2 linked regions of the Arabidopsis thaliana genome follow. The protein of the gene in region 2 purifies or fractionates together with the protein of the main gene of each other region. This does not show direct contact. Each region holds a gene or a part of one and is shown on either strand. Other genes may lie near its edges.

Region 1 (9,253 bases), on a different chromosome or scaffold from region 2:
TTCCATTATAATTATTTATTTTGTGTAATTATTGATTAAAATAAGAAAATGAGTAACTACTATTATGACGGTCCAAATTCTAACAGAGAAATTATGAATGCCATGTCAGATAAATGCACAAAATATGTTGTGGTTAAACAATTGCAATGTGGTCATAATTTTTATTTTTTATTCAATTTTTTTACAAAAAATTTGTTAAAAAATAAGAACATTTTACTGCTTATAAGAATGTTTTGATAATTATTTAACCAACCATTTTTCTTGTAAATACTTTATATTTTATTAAGATTCACTTTTATGGTTTGTAAAATATTTTTATAGTTTTGAAATAATAAACTTGTAAATTCATAAAATTATAGTTTAACTTTAGTTTTCTGATTCTTAAATATTGAACAATAACTAATAATATTACCAATTCATAGTTCCAGTGCCAACTCTTTAAGATAAATTAAATTGCATATATATATTGCATTATGGACTGAATGTGTGTATATGTAACTATGAAGTATATGAACATGACGATGCCAACTCTTTAAGATAATTTAAATTTGATTGTTCATTGGAATCCAAATTCTTGAAATTTGACAACTTTAATCTTAAATTCATCAAAATAAGATAATTAAACCCGTATTTTTTAAAACTACAAGAAATAATTAAAAAAGAAAGAAAGAAATGTTGATGCATATTTTATTGAACACTAGCACACTAATAAAACGCTCCTGTTTTTATTGTAGCTAGAACTTTGGTTGGATTATGATTTACACTAGATTTGCTTTAAAAAAAAAAGAAATTCAAGACATATTTTTTTATGGATTTAAAGTTTTTTTTTTTGCTAGTTCTCATTGGAGGAATTGGAACATTCTTAGGTAACATTCCTAAAACCAGACGTTGTGATGGTCACCATAAATTCATATTTGCGTTGTGTGCAACCGGTGGTTCTTTGGTACTAGGTCCTGAGGGTGGAACAAACCATCTCCTAACTAGTGGTTCTTTGGTACTAGGACCTGAAGGTGGAACGAACCATCTTGTACCCGGTGATTCTTTGGTACTAGGTCCTGAAGGGGGAACGAGCCATCTTGTGACGCGTATTGGATCAACTGATTTTTTAAGCAAACTTTCGGACTGTCGAAAATCTTCAGATTCATGTAAGAGGCTCTTCTTGTTGGCTTCAAGAACACCAACAAAGAGGAGAACAAACAATGCTATCACAGTAAAAAAATTTGATTTCGTCATTACAAGATACTTTTACAAATTGTTAGAACTATTGACTATGTTTAAGTTTTATAACATTGTCATAAATCTTATCTTATCATCTTAGAACTAAAGAATAAGATTTAATATTTTCTAATATGGAATGTGTTCTAAGTATGGTACACTGAAGATATTTTCCCGAAAATATTCTTTTTAATATATAGTAGATTTGACTGAAAAAATATAGGCAAAAACTATTATTTAAATAAATAATAAGAATACAATTCAACATTTTATACCCCAAACATTTTCAAAATTTATCTTACCATCCAAGTTCATTGAAGCTCAAATTGTAATGATGATATCTTTATTCAAATATATGAATTACTTGTATTTTATTCCTTTTTTTGTTATCCAAAATAAATCTATAAATCTGAAAAACTTGAATTTCACTAACTATGGTTTCATATCGCTTATCTCATTGTGATGATGAGATGATCTATATACAATTCCGTTGGAATCTGTTGGATTCCTGCTCTACCAATTCTTACAGTTGATCACCAATTCTTTATAAGCTACCATTTTGTTTTCAATGTTATGCGATTCTAATGTTTTCAATCTTCCACTATTTTACTACGATTTTGTTTTTCCTTTATTCACCTGACATTTCCAGTCGCAAACAATAAGCCTTAGTGAAACACACTGCACAAAACTGCAGCAAATGTTGCTCTCAAGACAAAAGACATTCCGGGGGAAACAAATAAAAAAACTCAGGAGAGTTATTTAAGATAAGCAAAAAAAGATACATCTTAAACTGATGCCATTTCGTTTTTCAGTTTCATGTAGACACAACCTTCTTCACCACTTTTGTAACCTCTTCCGGGGCCTTCTCTGCCGGTATGTTCACCAGATTCTCCTTCTTCGCATAATAGTCAATTACCTGCAACAACAACAACAAGAACAAATGTCAAATTCTCTGATAGTCCTCAAGTTCATGTACTATAAGGAAACATACCGGTTGCGTCTGCTTGTGGAATGCATCTAGCCTTGATCTAAGAACATCCGCATTGTCATCTTTACGTTGAATCAATGGCTCTCCAGTCAGCTAACAAACAACGAAGTTGATACAGAGATCAAATCACAAGAGAGAACTCGATTTACTAAGTCAAAATGATGAATCAGAATTTGATGGTTTTTCTTACATCATCGACTCCTGGAACTTTAGGAGGTGCGAATTTAGTATGATAGCTTCTTCCACTTGAAGGGTGAATCCACCTTCCAGTAATTCTTTCTTCGAGAACCGAATCATCGATCGCAAAATTAAGCACCTTATCTATCTGAGCTCCCCTTCTATTAAGCATCTCATCAAGCTACAAGATTTATAAACAAAAAAAGTCAGAACATTTACAAGAGCGAGCAGATACACAAACAACTAACCACAGAAAAGAACCAGAAACCTTCTCTGCTTGAGTCACAGTCCGCGGGAACCCATCAAGAATGAAACCTTTCTGACATTTGGGTCTGTTCATTGCTTCATCCATGATACCAACAACCAAGTCATCAGAAACAAGCTCTCCCTTATCCATTGCTTCCTTTGCCTTCACACCAAGAGGAGTCTTAGCAGCAACAGCAGCTCTAAGCATGTCACCAGTAGACAAATGACACAAACAAAACTCATCCTTTATGACCGGAGACTGTGTACCTTTCCCTGAACCAGGTGGACCTGCAAATTCCAAATCATACATGAACCAAAACTCAATTCTTCCTTTCTATTGAACCAAAAAACACAAATTCACAATCCCTTCGCTATGATCATCAGATAAAGCATTAACGATAACAGCAAAATGCAATTTTTACACACTAAAACAGATAAAAATCGGAACTTTCGCTACACAATTTTCACAGAGATCAAACCTAAAGTACCGATTGAGTGAAAGATTCAGAGGTAACGAAAGAGATGATTGTACCGATGAAAACGAGACGTTTGTCAGGTTTAGAGGCACATTTCATACGGCGAAGAAGCTCAGACATGAGATCAACAGTCTGAATATCTTCCATATCAACAGAAGCCGCACTGCTCGTTGCCATGTTCGTCGTCGTCGTCTCTTACAAGAGAATTAGATTTGGTCCGGTGGAGTTGTGTTCTCTTTTTGAAGTGCGTGTATTGGATTCGATGCTTCCAATGTTTTCTTTCACCGTTTTACGATTTTACCCTTAACTGTGCCAACAACTACAAAGGCCTGCCCTTCGAACAACAACAACCTGCCTGGGGTTGGTGACACACCCAACTCTGAAAACGAGTCTTTCTTCTTACACATCTAATATCGCACATTTTTCATAATTACATAAAATCAAATATCATATAATACTTCCAACAAACCATTATGTTTTAGGTCAAGTGAACCAAAAAAAGCGGACTAGAAAACATAGAATAAGTAGAGTCTAACACATTTTTTCGGTTTTAAGGCACGATGGACCGGTCATTTGTCCAATTAACACTAGTGTTAAGAAACTTAATTTGATATTAAGTACTGAGGTTGAAGATTTTGCTAGTTTATGGTAGACTTATGAATATCAGTATACCACTAGACCACATTCACTTTTCGTCAATAAGACAATTAAACTCTTGAAAACCCACATTTTTCTTTTTTTTTTTTGAAAGCCAAACTCCATCAATGTTTGGTTATTAAAGATATGAATGAATACTACATCATTAGTTTCTTTCTTGATAATTTTTGTATATTTATTTATTAATAAGTTTTTGTATTTTTCTAAATTCTTAACATTAATAAAAGAGTTTTCCAAAAAATGCAAAATAATACTATAAAATTCAAAATAGTACATAATATAAGCTTTTTTTTTTCCAACTTTACATATATTGTAAACGTTTTTACGATCACATACATCTGCTTTTTGAAAATTCTAAAAATATAAATAAACTCTTTACCTCAAAAGTTTCAATTTGCTATATACATTTTTTTAAAATCAAATTTAACAATAAAAAATAAAATTAGATTACATATTATTTTAGAATTAAATTAACATAGGCCCACTTCTTATGTTGGGAAAAGGGAACAACAAATATAACAATTTAGCAACAAAGAAGTAGAAAAAAGAGGTGATGTCATAATAAACGGTAAAATAATAGGAACGATGAGCGAGCGGATCTAGCTTTCGTCAAAATCATCATCACTGAGTACATCTGCCACGTCAGCTTGATTGGGATCTATTTGGTCGCCCGTACACAAAATCTCGGCTCACTCACTCACACTACTCAAGTCAACGTTTCTAAGATTCTCCGGCGGAGCGATTATGTCAGGTAAAACTATCGCCGATCTCTTCTTCTTCTTCTGATTCGAATCTCTCGTCCCCATTCCCTGATTTTTTTGATTTACATTTGATAGGATCTTCTTCACCGAGCTTGTGGCTGGCACCGAATCCGAGCAAGAGATGGGGAGAGCTCTTCTTCCTCTTCTACACTCCTTTTTGGCTCACTCTCTGTTTAGGCATCGTTGTTCCTTACAAGCTTTACGAGGTCTATGCGATCATCAAATGAGCATTGTTTTTAAGTGTCTGATGTATTTAGGAGACGATGAGACAGAGTTGAAGTAGCTATTCACTTTTTTTTATCTGCTAAATTAGATCAACAAAGTTTATGAAATGATGTCTCATTGTTTACCATGTCAGTGTTTTAGAGATCTGAAAATTTTACTGTTGTATGAAGTTGTCTTTTAAGTGGTATTGAAGAAGTACTAATAAGTGTTAGTTACTTTGCAAACTAGCAGACATTCACGGAGTTGGAGTATCTGCTTCTAGCTTTGGTTTCAGCTGTTCCTGCTTTCGTTATACCCATGTTACTCGTTGGAAAGGTTACTTTTTGACAACTTTTGCTTTCACTGTGAGCTAACGTGTTCGTGGTGCTATACTTGTTTGTCTACTAGCTACTTGCTTCCAATTGAATGCAAATCTCTATTGTTTTCCTTACCATATGGACTCAGAATATATGCATTATTCTTTCAGGCCGACAGAAGTTTATGTTGGAAGGACCGCTATTGGGTTAAGGCAAGCTTTTTTTCTATGTGCATGACATTTTGGCTTGCCAGTTCTAGTTTCAAACTATTTTTAGAACTTGTTTTAACTTCCTTGAGTACTGGTGAGAGTTCTCAAGATCTCATCCATAGTTGTACTGATTGGAACATGTTTTTACCACAGGCAAATCTCTGGATAATTGTTTTCAGCTATGTCGGAAACTACTTTTGGACTCACTATTTCTTTAAAGTTCTTGGAGCGTCCTATACTTTTCCATCATGGAAAATGAATAATGTAAGCACAGCATTATCTCGGCAGATTTGTTCTATTGAGTAGTTTTCTTGTTTCCATGAGCTTATGGCAGGGGTTTTGTGTTGAACAGGTGCCTCACACAACATTCTTCCTAACACATGTTTGCTTCCTCTTTTACCACGTTGCATCGAACATTACTCTTCGGAGGCTACGCCATTCCACTGCTGATTTACCAGATTCTCTGAAATGGTGTTTTGAGGCTGCATGGATACTTGCGCTTTCTTATTTCATTGCATACTTGGAGACTATTGCTATCGCAAATGTACGTTGTGATGTCTACATTTCTTTGATAATTTCCTATAAAAAGAGCTCTCTACTTGGTGTTTTATCATATATCACAAATTCCTCTTATAGTCTGCTTAAAGACTACGTTTATCTACTTAATCATTCTAGAATCTTGTTTAGAAACTAGTCACTTGACAATAACCGCTCATATGTTCTGTTTTTGTTTTCAAACTTGTGCAGTTTCCTTACTATGAGTTTGTGGACCGAAGTGCCATGTACAGAGTTGGATGTCTTTTCTATGCCATTTACTTCATTGTGAGCTTCCCAATGTTCTTCAGGTAAAGAAAGCATAGTTTTCTATCATCTCATAGAAGCAGTGAATCTTTTCACCTTCATGACTGTTGCATATCAAAACTGAGACAAGTGATAGTTGTTAGATACACCGGATTAATTGATTGAATTTTCTTGAGAGTCTTAAAATATAGGAATTAAAGACTTAAATGGAGAACCAGGTCTTTCTCAAGTGTCTTGAGGAGTTCTTTGAACAGTCTCTGTGATATGCTTCCGTCTCACCTTCTTATTGCTATTTGATTACCTCGAGTTGTTGTCTATCTGTTTTCATATGTTTTATTCATTGTTTGCAGGATGGATGAGAAATCAACTGATGAATGGGATTTATCTCGAGTGGCTGTTGATGCTTTGGGTGCTGCTATGTTGGTAACAATCATTCTTGATCTATGGCGTCTCTTCTTGGGACCTATAGTTCCCTTACCGGAGGGACAAAACTGCCTTCAGTCTGGATTACCATGGTTCTCCAATTGAAGATTGAAAGATCGGTTACTTCCACCAATTCAGGGAATTGACATGGGACTGAGAGAGAAACCTGCAAAGGAATTTCCATTAACACTTTACGGAATTGGGAAGCAGTTAATGCAGGGCATGTTTCTAAGGCTTTTCTTCTCCAACTGCTGATTTGTTTGTTAGTTGTTTTTGGTTTTCAGTTTCTCTTGATGAACTTTCCCAATGTAACCTTTCAAGTTATCCTTTATAGAACAGAATGGAACTTCGTTTTTTGTTGTGGACTCGATATATTGGTTCGTCCTCTTAAGTTCATTAAAACAAGAAAGACCATAACACCATTGAAAGAACCAAAACTTGATATTAAATGGTAAAGTCTCATCACATGAAGTAGCTAAGGGCTTACTTTACTTCTGCAACCTCCCCCGTAGCATTTGTTCCATTGTTGTAGTCACTAACTTATATGGGACGACTGTTGCAGTGCATAACTGCAACCACAATCAGAACACTAATCTCTGGTCCAAGATCAACATTACCTGGTCCTGTGACCATCCATGATTCCTTGAACAAGTACACGTTCTCAGTTCTTTGTCCGTAGACCGGTTAGTAGTGGGAGATAGAACAAGACTGCTCTCCGTTTTTGTAATCTTTGCATCTGAGAATATTAAGGAGATACGACTACTAACCGTAAGAGTTTACTTGTTCATATATGTCATAGTTTTAATGTGGTTTGTAATGAGTCTTTGGAGTGTAAGAGTTTAAAAATGATTTAATATAAGATCTAAGTCTCATTCACATAAGATAACCCTGTTTCAAGATACAACAACAATTCTATTATAGGAGCATCCTTCAACTTTTAAATATAAAAAACATAAAACACTGAATCAGAATCATACTGATACTAACTCAGGTTTATTGTAGTTTCTTGAATAAAATCTGGAAAGAATAACAAAACATTACTGCCACAAGATCAGAAAATGAAACAACCCAAAAATATTTCAAGAGTGTTAAGTTGCCATTATTGTATCATCAAAATAGTACTGCCACTAATGCTTTATACCATCAATTAATGCATGACTGACCTCGTTTCTTCTAACCCAAGTATATGCTATTCACAGAACAAGAAAAATACTTCCCTGAATCCAGACTAAATCACACTAACTCATATATCAACACGAAGGAGAAGAGTATGGACCAAGAAAATTGAGAAATCCAAACTCCGATTAAGCCATTAAGGCAAAAAACCATCCATGCAAAGAGACATATAAATTCATAGGGAGAGAGACAAAAACACGTAGCAATAAAAAAGCAAATGAGTACAAAACAAAACAAAACAAAATAGAAGATTGTGCAATGTAACGCAAGGACTCATGAAGATCATCATACCTTTGCTTTGAGAATCAGGATGGACAACTTCAGACTTGTGTAACCCCTTCTTTTTCGTCAAGATTAATTACTTCTTTTCGAATTCAACGTGAATGTAAAAATCTCTAGAGATCAAATTTTAAAACATCAAGCAGTCTAAACATTAAACAACATCAGCTTAACACAGTTTAAACGCATTAACCACTTTATAAAATGTTGAAACTATTTTTGTAACCCACAATATTATAAAACGCATGTTTCTTGTTTTCTAAAGAAAATCTAAATTTTGAATTGATCAATTTTTTGTCCAAATCTTCTATGATTTCCTTAGGGAGAGCCACAACCTGATTCCAAGCCCAAGAAGAAGGATGCTCCACGTTTTAAAGTTAATCTTGGAAGCGAGCGACAATGCTTGGGATGGAATGTTAAAGGTAGCAGATGCATACTCTGTTATCATAGTCTATGTCAAAGTATGTGGATATGAATAGTTTCCATGGTCGTACTTGTCCAAGAAACTTGGATTTGTATTTTGTAGCTACTCGAACACAAAACTTGAAACCAAGAACATTTTTTTTGGTGCCAATAAAATAACACACTGGTCTAAGTGACATGTATGTTTTTATGAGATTTGCTCTCCAATGTGGCTCAACCTGTGTTTTCTTTGGGTATATACATACTGGATTTTTGGCCGAAGTCTTGGAAACAGATTATATCTGTGATTTGGAAAATGCGGAATCACCCACTATTATAAACTGAAATTTTCTTAACTTATCATTTCTATGCAACAAACACACTTTTACTATCAAATCTAAGTACAGAGATACGTTACAACAAGAAAGTAATATCATCCAGCTCCATATATATAGCAAAGACCATTTGATTCAAGAGCATAATCATTATATAAAACCCATGGTCATAACATGATAAGTATTAAGACATGTACATAAGAATTTTGACAGTGTATAAAAAGGGTGTAAGCCCGACTTTCACATATATAACTTAAACCCCTGACTTATATGTTACCTGGCCACTATCATCTTTCAAACAGACAAGATTGTCCTTCAAGCAAGAGAGTCCTCGTCAATCGTCATCATCTTCTAGCAAGAGCCTTAACTTTTCCTTCTCGGGTGGTGAATAACCAATTGATTTCCTTCAAATAGGTCTGGTAAGTAACTCTCCAGGTCATCTGGTGTGTACTTTATGTACTTTCCAGCATGCCTACCACCTTCTAGTTGACTCCTATTCCTTCCGAAGAAAGCCCGGTAAGCCGGGATTACTTTCTCTGATATAGATATTCTCAGTTCTTCACGAAGTTGAGGATCCGGGACCTTCC
Region 2 (9,049 bases):
GAATTCTCCTTCTGAACATTCCTATAAAAATATGGCCATCTTCTTTCATCCATGCAAAGAGAACCAGAGAATACTTGAATTTGGGACCAAACATTATTAGTAAGTTCTCTTTGCATGTTCGAACATGCATGGATGAAATATGACCTTTGGTTCGTTTTTTGAAGTGGAACTTATCGAGTATTAATTTACAGAGGTTTAGTATAGAAAAATCTATTTATATTCCATTGTAAAAATAATTTGAGATAAGTGAAAAGTAATCATTTTAATTTTTTCAAACATATTTGGGAAAGTAGTCATATTACTATTTACAATTTGCAAAGTAGTCATTTTTAAGTGTTTGATTTATACACCTGGATTGCAAAGTGACTAGTTTTCCAAGAAACCCTAATAATAATTAAAAATTTCTTAATGGATTTGTTCACTATATATAACTGTCCCTCCATAGACCATGCATAATCCTCCACCCTTTTGCAAGTTCTCTATCTAGTTGGAGAGACCAAAGATGAATGTGAAAAAGGCTATGAAGAAGCAAAACGACGTCGCGATGATCCTTGGGAGGCACGTCTTATCTTCTGAGTCGGAATCTAACGTCATCTTCTCGCCGGCGTCAATAAACTCTGCGATCACCATGCACGCCGCTGGTTCCGGAGGTGGCTTAGTCGCCGGTGAAATCCTCTCCTTCCTCAGATCTTCTTCAATCGATGAGCTCAAATCCGTCTTCCGAGAACTATCATCCATCGTCTACGCCGACAGCAGCGCTAGTGGCGGCCCAAAGATGAGGGCGGTGAATGGCCTCTGGATTGAGAAATCACTACCGATTGATCCCAAATACAAGGCTCTCTTCGAGAACTTCTTCAAGGCTGTTTACGTTCCCGTAGATTTCCGATCAAAGGTAATTTTCCACTTTAACAGCAAAAAAGAAACTAGGGTTTCGAAGAAATATAATTAGGGTTTTGCAGAAACGTTATTTGGTGTTTCTAGATGAAGTGTGTAATAGCTGTTTGACTTAAAGAACATACTCAACCAGTCAAATTGGAAACCTAATAGTTCGTAATGTATGTTGATTCCCAAATCATAATTCGAATTAGGAGACTGTTTTCAAAAATCATCCAATATGTGTTTTTTTTGTTTGAAGGCTGAAGAAGTGCGTAAGGAGGTGAATTCATGGGTTGAAGATCACACCAATAATCTCATCAAAGATCTTCTTCCTCGTGAATCTGTGACAAGCCGAACCAACAAGATTTACGCAAACGCATTGTATTTCAAGGGAGCTTGGAAGAGACCATTTGAAAAGTACTATACAAAAGACAGAGACTTCCACATGGTCAATGGCACTACAGTCTCTGTGCCATTCATGACCAGCTACGAGACACAAAAAGTAAGAGCTTATAACGGTTTCAAGGTCCTTACCGACGAGGCCGTGATGATACCAACCGCAAATTCTCAATGTATTTCTATCTCCCTGACAAGAAAGATGGATTGGATTATCTCTTGAAGAAAATAGCATCTACACCTGGATTCTTGGATAGTCACATTCCGAGATACAAAGTTGAACTTGAGGAATTTAGAATTCCAAAGTTTAAGATCGAATTCGGTTTTTCTGCTACAAGCGTTTTGAATCAAGTGGGAGTACTGCATTCAGTGTCAATGTACCATAAAGCTTGTGTCGAGATCGATGAAGAAGGTGCTGAAGCTGCGGCTGCAACTGCTGATGTAGAAGATGACGGTTGTGCTCTTGATATGGGGCCACCTCCTAAGAAGATAGATTTTGTGGCTGATCATCCATTTATTTTCCTTATCCGAGAAGACAAAACCGGGACCGTTTTGTTCTTTGGTCAGCTCTTCAAACCTTCGGAATTCTTGTTCTGACTCAGATAAGTATTAACCTGGTTATGGTTTAGTGAATGGTTTTGGCAAAGTTATCACAGGTTCTCCGAAACCATATTTCAGTTGAAACCGAGATTGTTAGAAATTAAATTGGTTCTAGCTAGTTAGATCTGTTACTAAACTTTAATTGATCTCCATATCTCTGTTTTTTTCTATTCATTTCGTTCGGTTTGATTTTCGATTATCATTTTTTGTACTCGTGGATTATACATTTAAACACCCAAATTGTATGTTCCTGATCATTACCCACCATTTCCTGTCCTAATCTCCGAAATGAACACCACTACTCACTGACTCGAGTTTCGATGTGTTTAGATAGATAGTACTAGATTATTGAGTCTAATCACTTCTTGAATCACAAACAGAACAAGAACCCAATACGGTTCATGTAAAGGTTAACCGGTCAAACTATATACACAAGTAACAACATTTGGGAGAGACTTTAGTTAAAAGCGAGCATTTCCACTTCACAGCTCAGACCAACAACATACATGCATGTGTTACAACTGAATATACATCAATCAGTCTCTGGAGTTAAGCTTTGGTCTGAAGAATATAACTACGAGCACGAGCTGAGCAAAAGATACCTAACACTCCAAAATCGAAGCTAATAAACGCACTTAAGCAGAATATCCAAATAGATATCGGTCCTTCCACCAATTCGTTTTGATATATTTCCTCTTGTGATGCATCAATGTTTGCCGGGTCACACTTGCTTCCGGGAGTTTCCACACACAGTTCCGGATTTCCGGCCAACGCCCCTGGAAACTTCCCGAGCCCTTCTTTCTCGGTAATGATACCAGAGAAACAGTTGTGCGATAGGTTCAGTAGGGTTAGTCCTGGAGGAGCTGAGATGTTTCCAATGACTTGACCTGACAGAGAGTTGTGTGAAAGATCTAAGGCCTTTAACCTTGGCAGCTTCTCTAGACGTGGAAGCTGACCTTCAAGGAAGTTGTAGGACAAGTTCAAGTACTCAATATTCTTCTGTCTGAACAAAGCTTCTGGGATCTCTCCATGTAATAGATTGTCAGAAAGATCGATCCCAACCATAGACAATAGATTGTAGCTGAAACTTAATTCATCTTTAGCAACAACAGCTGCTGATATTTTGATCTCTACTTTTCCTGGTGGCTCAGCAAATCCTTCACCTCCACCGGTCTGAAAATCTTTGAAGCGTGTGCTGTTTAAGTTATCGTCTGGTATGAACCAAGAGAATCTGTTGCTGGAGTAGTCAATCATTTGGATTTTGTCAAACTTGAACAACCAAGAAGGAAGTGTTCCACTAAACTTGTTCCGGGCAAGAGAAAGATACTTGAGGTTGGACCATTTGGTAATGGCTTCATTAAGGTTCCCCGAGAGGTTGTTGGAACTTATATCCACAATCTCTAGAGACTTCAGACCAGCTAAAGTAAGCGGGATCTCACCGGATATATGGTTGTTGCTTATGTCCAGTATCTTTAGACTATCCAACGCATCAAGCTCGGGTTGTATTTCGCCAGAGAGATTGTTGTTACTTATCATCAGAGCAAGTAACTGAAAGCAACCAACAATGTTGAGAGGTATTGAGCCGGTTAACGCGTTGTGGGAAAGATCAATGACCTGGAGATATGTCAGATTACCAATTCTAGCAGGAATATCTCCAGTTAAAAGATTGTGAGAGAGACGCAATGCTTGTAAACTCTTCAACTCTGTGATCCTCAACGGTATATCACCAGAAAAGCTATTGTGAGAGAGGTCAAGAAGAACCAAACCCAATTTCTCAGTTGTTTCCGAGATTCTACTAGGAAGACGACCTGAAAACCCGTTGTGACTCAAGTCCAACATCACAAGCTTCTCTGAAAACATAAGCCTAGGAGATATCTCGTAGTTGAAGCCATTGAAAGATAGATTCAAATGACTCAGCTCTTTTAAAGAACCCAAACAAGAAGGTAATCCACCAACCAGAGAGTTCTCAGCTATATTCAGAATACTAAGAGACGGACGAGAGGCGTAGAAACAAGGTAGCGTACCGGAAAACTGATTTGAAGCAAGATTAAGAACCACCAATGGCTGCTGAAAATCTCTGAGTGTACCAGTCATGTTATTGCTCTCAAGATTCAAGTACTTGAGAGACTTCAAATACAGTAAACTCTCAGGTAGTTCTCCAACAAACGAGCAGAAACTAAAATCAACTCTCTCAAGATTCATTGAGAAATTACCAAACCAATGAGGGACCACACCGCCTAAATCTCTATTCTCACTTAGAACAACTTCTCTAAGCTCCTTAAGACTTACAAATGTGGCGGGTATCGAACCAACGAATCTATTCCGACTAAGATTAAGTGTCCTAAGATTACGCAACGAACCGAAGCAAGAAGGAATGTTTCCAGAGAAGTTGTTGTGAGAAAGGTCCAAGCTTTGAAGAGAAGAGAGCTTACAAAGAGATGGGTGAATCTGACTGGAGAGATTCAGACCGGATAAAGTGAGGGAGAGAACTTTTCCGGTCGGATTCTGACAAGCTAGACCTGTCCAGTTAGAACACGATGAGCCGTACCATGTCGATAAGCTTCGATTTAGGTCGTGAATCGAAACTCTGAATATCAATAAAGAAGCTTTGTCTTGTGGGTCGAGATCGGGAAGCTGAGATTGAGCTAGAGGCAACGAGGGAGAGAAGACGAAGATAAAGAAGAAGAGAGTGAAATCTGCAATCTTTATCATAGCTCAGAGGAGAAAGATGAAGTTTTTAGGTATAGCGGCAGTTGAAGTAAATTAAGAAGGTTTCAGGGGTGAGTTGCAGAAATCGCAGAGACCTCTCTTTGCAATGGAGAGTGAAGCAACGCGACCTGGAAGTGGAAGTGGAAGATAAAGACAGAGAGAACATTCTCTTTCGGTTCCTTTTGTTTTAGCCTTTCAGACCCAAGAAGTGATTAATTAATGCAAAATTCCAAAAATCTACACTTATTTCTAGGAAAAACAAAATACAAAGGGTTTGATTCAGTACGTAATCCGTATTGTTAATTACTAATTTTATAGGTATTTATAAAAAAATCATATATTTTACTAAGAAATTTTAAATTTAGTCTCAAATCTTATGTTATTGAACCTAGAATTTACTTAAAATCATTTCAAAATAATATGATTCTTTTTTTTTGGATAAAGTTACCATTCATTCTTGTAACGTTTACTATAAAAAAAAAAAACAGCATATGATTCCACTATGAAGAAAAATTCCAAATTTACCGGCTCAAAGAAGAAAGAGTGTAAAAGAAAAATCGAAACCAAATGTACAATTTCACTATAAGTCATACGATTTCAACTCGAGTAAAGAGCTTCAAGTTTGCATAGTCTCAAAAAATAACATGTTCGAAGATGTCGAAAATGTCCATGAAACCAACAATTTAAAACAAAACCAGGCCAGCTTTGTAGCTTTAGGCCCATTCTAACACATTAATTTATGTTTTGTGCAACTCTAAAACTTTCTCTATATAAATGGTATCTAAACCCTAGATCTAATAGTAAGTGCCGAAGAAATCTCTCAAGTCTCTCTCGTTGTCTCAGGTTGGTCAGTTCTTTCTCTAGATTTCAACTTGTTTAGTCTTTTAAGAGGAAAAAGCATAAAGCTTTCTGTGTCATTTTTAATATCTGAGAATTCTAAAAAAAATGTTCTCTTGTGTATTGTAACTCGATTTTCGTCAGATCATTTCTGATTATGGGTATGTTTTGTTTTGCTCTCTAGGGTTGCAACATTTTGTAGAGAAAATGGGTTCATATGCATCAGATTCTGCAATGTTGAAGACTTGGAGAAAGACTCCTCCTTCGTCTTGTTCTCTTGTCAGACTTTCACATCTTTCTTCACTACAAGCATATATAACTAAGAAATGTTGCCTTTTTTGTAAAAATCAGGAGATTGGTTGTTTACCCAAAAGGAAACGAAGAGGACAATGGAAAGGGCTTTGTGTCTATGTATGTGGAATGTCTCTCATCCACAACACCACCCATTGATGTGTTTGATTATCTCTCTTTCTTTGTCTTTAACAAGAAAGACAACAAGTACCTCTCAATCCAAGGTTCGTATGCTCAAATCCTTATTATCTCTCTTTTTCTCTCGTATGTATATATGAATGAATGAATCGTAATGTGTGTGTATACGTGTAAACATGTAGATGTTGAAGTTAAGCGTTTCAGTTCTTCTAAAACGGTTTGGGGATTGCCAAAAGCTATGTCGCTTGAAACATTCACTGACCCTGCAAAGGGATTTATCGTGGAAGGAGAACCATGTGAGTTTGGTGCTCATGTGAAGATTGCTTCATCACCCGTCCCTGTTGATGAGAATCTCCCTTTTCACAAATTCTCTTGGAGCATTCGTGATTTCTCTGTTCTGAAACAGAATGATTGCATATCTAAAACCTTTGCAATGGGAGGAAAGAATTGGTGAGTTTTTTCCTTCTGATAGATATTGTTGTATGAGTGTATTAGTGGTAACTTGCTAACAAGTGGATGATAATGTTTTACAGGACTCTAACTGTGTATCCAAAGGGAGACTCTGAGGCAGATAACGAGTTCTGCAAGTACTTGCATTTAGCTGACGGTGAAGTCTTATCGCCTGGTGAGATGATTTCCGTGCGAGCACAACTAAGGGCTTTAGACCCGCGTGGATCCAAACACAAAACAGTCTGGCGTAAGTCAAAAACTATTGATATTACTATTTTCACAATGCTTATGTCTTGCCTTGATGGATGATACTGATGACATTTTCAATAAGCAAATGTCCCAACTCTTTTGACGACATTGATTCCTTGTTCTTGTAGTTCAACAATGGATCATGGCAGCGACCAAAGCGAGGGGTATTCCTCAATCCTTGTCTTTAGCTGATCTTCAGGAGGCTTACTTGGATGAAGATACTTTGAATGTGGAGATCGAATGTGAAGTTGTGAACTCTAGGAAAATGTTTTAAGCGTAGAAGAGAATGTGAAGTTGTTTCCACCAAACACTCTATCTATATCTATTTAGCTATCATGCCATGTCTACTACTCTAGGACTATTTGTGTTAAGCGTAGAACTGAATGTGAAGTTGTTTCCACCAAACGCTCTATCTATATTTAGGAATATCTCTTTGTCCATCATGCATATCTGACTATTGTATGACTACTCTGTTTTATGTGTTTATTTAATGAACTTCTTAGTTATTAATTTTTGTTTGTGTATATCTCAAAATGTCTCAACACATTCCTCTAGCTCTTTGAAGTTGCAGAAACTAGGGACCTTCACTGCTTAACTTATCTATTCACTCTTTAGGCCATCAATGGACCAGCTTCATAAAACAGAATCTCTGGCCACAACCTGCATACCAGAAATCTGAGACTATAAACAGAGAAGAGATACATAAGAAAAATAGCACAAACACTTATAGCGGCTGGTTGCAACAATACGGCATCCTTAACGAATGTCGAGCCAAGTGTGGTGGGATGCAAGTCAAGTTGTGGCGCAAAAAACCTTATAGCTTCAGATTATTACTTTGCAAGAATCAATTGCTATAACAAGGCAGCGCTGACGAATCGGATACTCCACGCTTGTGTTCTATTCAGGTCAACAAGTTGCAATGCTATTGGATGCTGCAGCCTGCAAGGCAAGCATGCCTTATGGGGTTCAACGTGTTGACTGTTGGTGTCAAAATAGAAGATAGTAACACAAGTTACACAACAACTAAAGGGTGCAAATTTGCTTTCTTAACAGACGAACCGTATGATATGTTGGGTAGATACAGTCCACAACAGATCCATGCTCTACGATATTCTCACGTTGAGCTAGGATGGTTTATTCACACTACGGATCTTTCGTTTATAGACTCTTTGGGATGCCAGAATTTAACAGAGTACAATAAGAAGGAATTTATTGATCCATGTATGTGATTATAATGTGAATTTAAGATATGCAAGTTGTGCATGCAATAGCGGTTACAACGGCAACCCATACGTCGGATGCCAAGGTCAGTAATTGTATTTAAAGTTTTCTTCTTATTTTTAGATCTCAAAATCAGTTAAATACCGATGTTATTAATTGTCAATTAAATACGGATGTCATTATAACTAGGTCATATAAATACCGAGGTTAACATCTAAATAAAATGACGTTAAAGGCCGTTTTTTTGTAGTGATATATATTGCTTAAATTATAAATTGGTCTAAATAGGTCCGTATGGATCAAAGTAATTCGCATTTAAATAAATGAGAATTTACACAAATTAACACCCCTAATTAGCCATTAGTAATTAATATTACCATCTACACAAGCAATAAAAGAAGTTAATATTCAACACACCAAAATAAAATAAAATAGAAGTTATTCATTTTTTAGTATTTATATTTCCAAGATATATCTAATCATTTTGTTTTTGCCGGTTTGCAGGGTTAGGCTTGTTAATCTTCATTGGTGGAGTATATTGGTTATAAAATTTAGTAGAAAACAAATGAGGCTAAACCAAAAGAGAAAGTTCTTCAAACGTACTGGGGGTTTATTGTTGCAACAACAATTGACTTCAACAGAAGGCAATGTCGAGAAGACAAGAGTGTTCAGCTCGAGTGAGTTAGAGAAAGCCACTGAAAACTTCAGCCTAAATAGAATACTTGGTCAGGGTGGTCAAGGTACTGTGTACAAGGGAATGCTTGTCGATGCTAGAATTGTAGCAGTAAAGAAACCCAAAGTTGTGGACGCAGACAAGCTAGAAGAGTTCATCAATGAGGTTGTAATTCTTTCGCAGATTAACCATAGAATCGTGAAAATCTTAGGTTGTTTCCGTAATGAGACAAATGTCCTTCTTCTCGTCTACGAGTTTATTCCCAATGGCAACCTTTTCGAGCATCTTCACGATAAGCTGATGATTTCACGATGATTACTTGGGATGTACGTCTCCGCATAGCAGTGGATATTGCATGAGCTCTTTCATACTTGCTCTCGGCTGAATCATCTCCAATCTATCACAGAGACGTCAAGTCTACAAACATCATGTTAGATGAGAAATATCGAGCCAAAGTTTCGCGATGGGATATATGGATCCTGAGTACTTTCAGTCTAGCCAATTCACAGCAAAGAGTGATGTCTATAGCTTTGTGGTTGTGCTGGCTGAGTTAATATAGCATATCAAAGTTGTAAATTACTAGACTTATATAGATCTTTGGGAAATTAC

What was found.
Region 1: the proteins of CLV2 (region 2) and CPI1 purify together in Arabidopsis thaliana (affinity purification with western blotting, with the first as the bait; one study listed by BioGRID). This does not show direct contact.

The regions. Positions count from the first base shown.
Region 1 is NC_003076.8:20,507,353-20,516,605, forward strand, and holds CPI1 (cyclopropyl isomerase), read left to right. Parts: upstream 1-4,314; 5' UTR 4,315-4,503; coding exon 4,504-4,510; intron 4,511-4,595; coding exon 4,596-4,726; exon of another isoform or gene 4,727-4,976; coding exon 4,977-5,060; intron 5,061-5,211; coding exon 5,212-5,253; intron 5,254-5,403; coding exon 5,404-5,514; intron 5,515-5,602; coding exon 5,603-5,794; intron 5,795-5,997; coding exon 5,998-6,095; intron 6,096-6,401; coding exon 6,402-6,474; coding exon of another isoform or gene 6,475-6,579; exon of another isoform or gene 6,580-6,612; coding exon 6,613-6,729; 3' UTR 6,730-6,897; downstream 6,898-9,253. Other genes in the region: AT5G50365 (uncharacterized protein), read left to right, coding at 809-1,210, 1,419-1,424; AT5G50370 (Adenylate kinase family protein), read right to left, coding at 2,030-2,131, 2,207-2,296, 2,394-2,561, 2,649-2,914, 3,159-3,279; EXO70F1 (exocyst subunit exo70 family protein F1), read right to left, coding at 9,030-9,253. UniProt on the Arabidopsis thaliana protein: Converts pentacyclic cyclopropyl sterols to tetracyclic sterols.
Region 2 is NC_003070.9:24,282,478-24,291,526, reverse strand, and holds CLV2 (Leucine-rich repeat (LRR) family protein), read right to left. Parts: upstream 4,786-9,049; 5' UTR 4,585-4,785; coding exon 2,422-4,584; 3' UTR 2,198-2,421; downstream 1-2,197. Other genes in the region: AT1G65370 (TRAF-like family protein), read left to right, coding at 5,828-5,933, 6,030-6,297, 6,381-6,544, 6,675-6,820. UniProt on the Arabidopsis thaliana protein: Involved in the perception of CLV3 and CLV3-like (CLE) peptides, that act as extracellular signals regulating meristems maintenance. Required for the sensing of the root CLE peptides (e.g.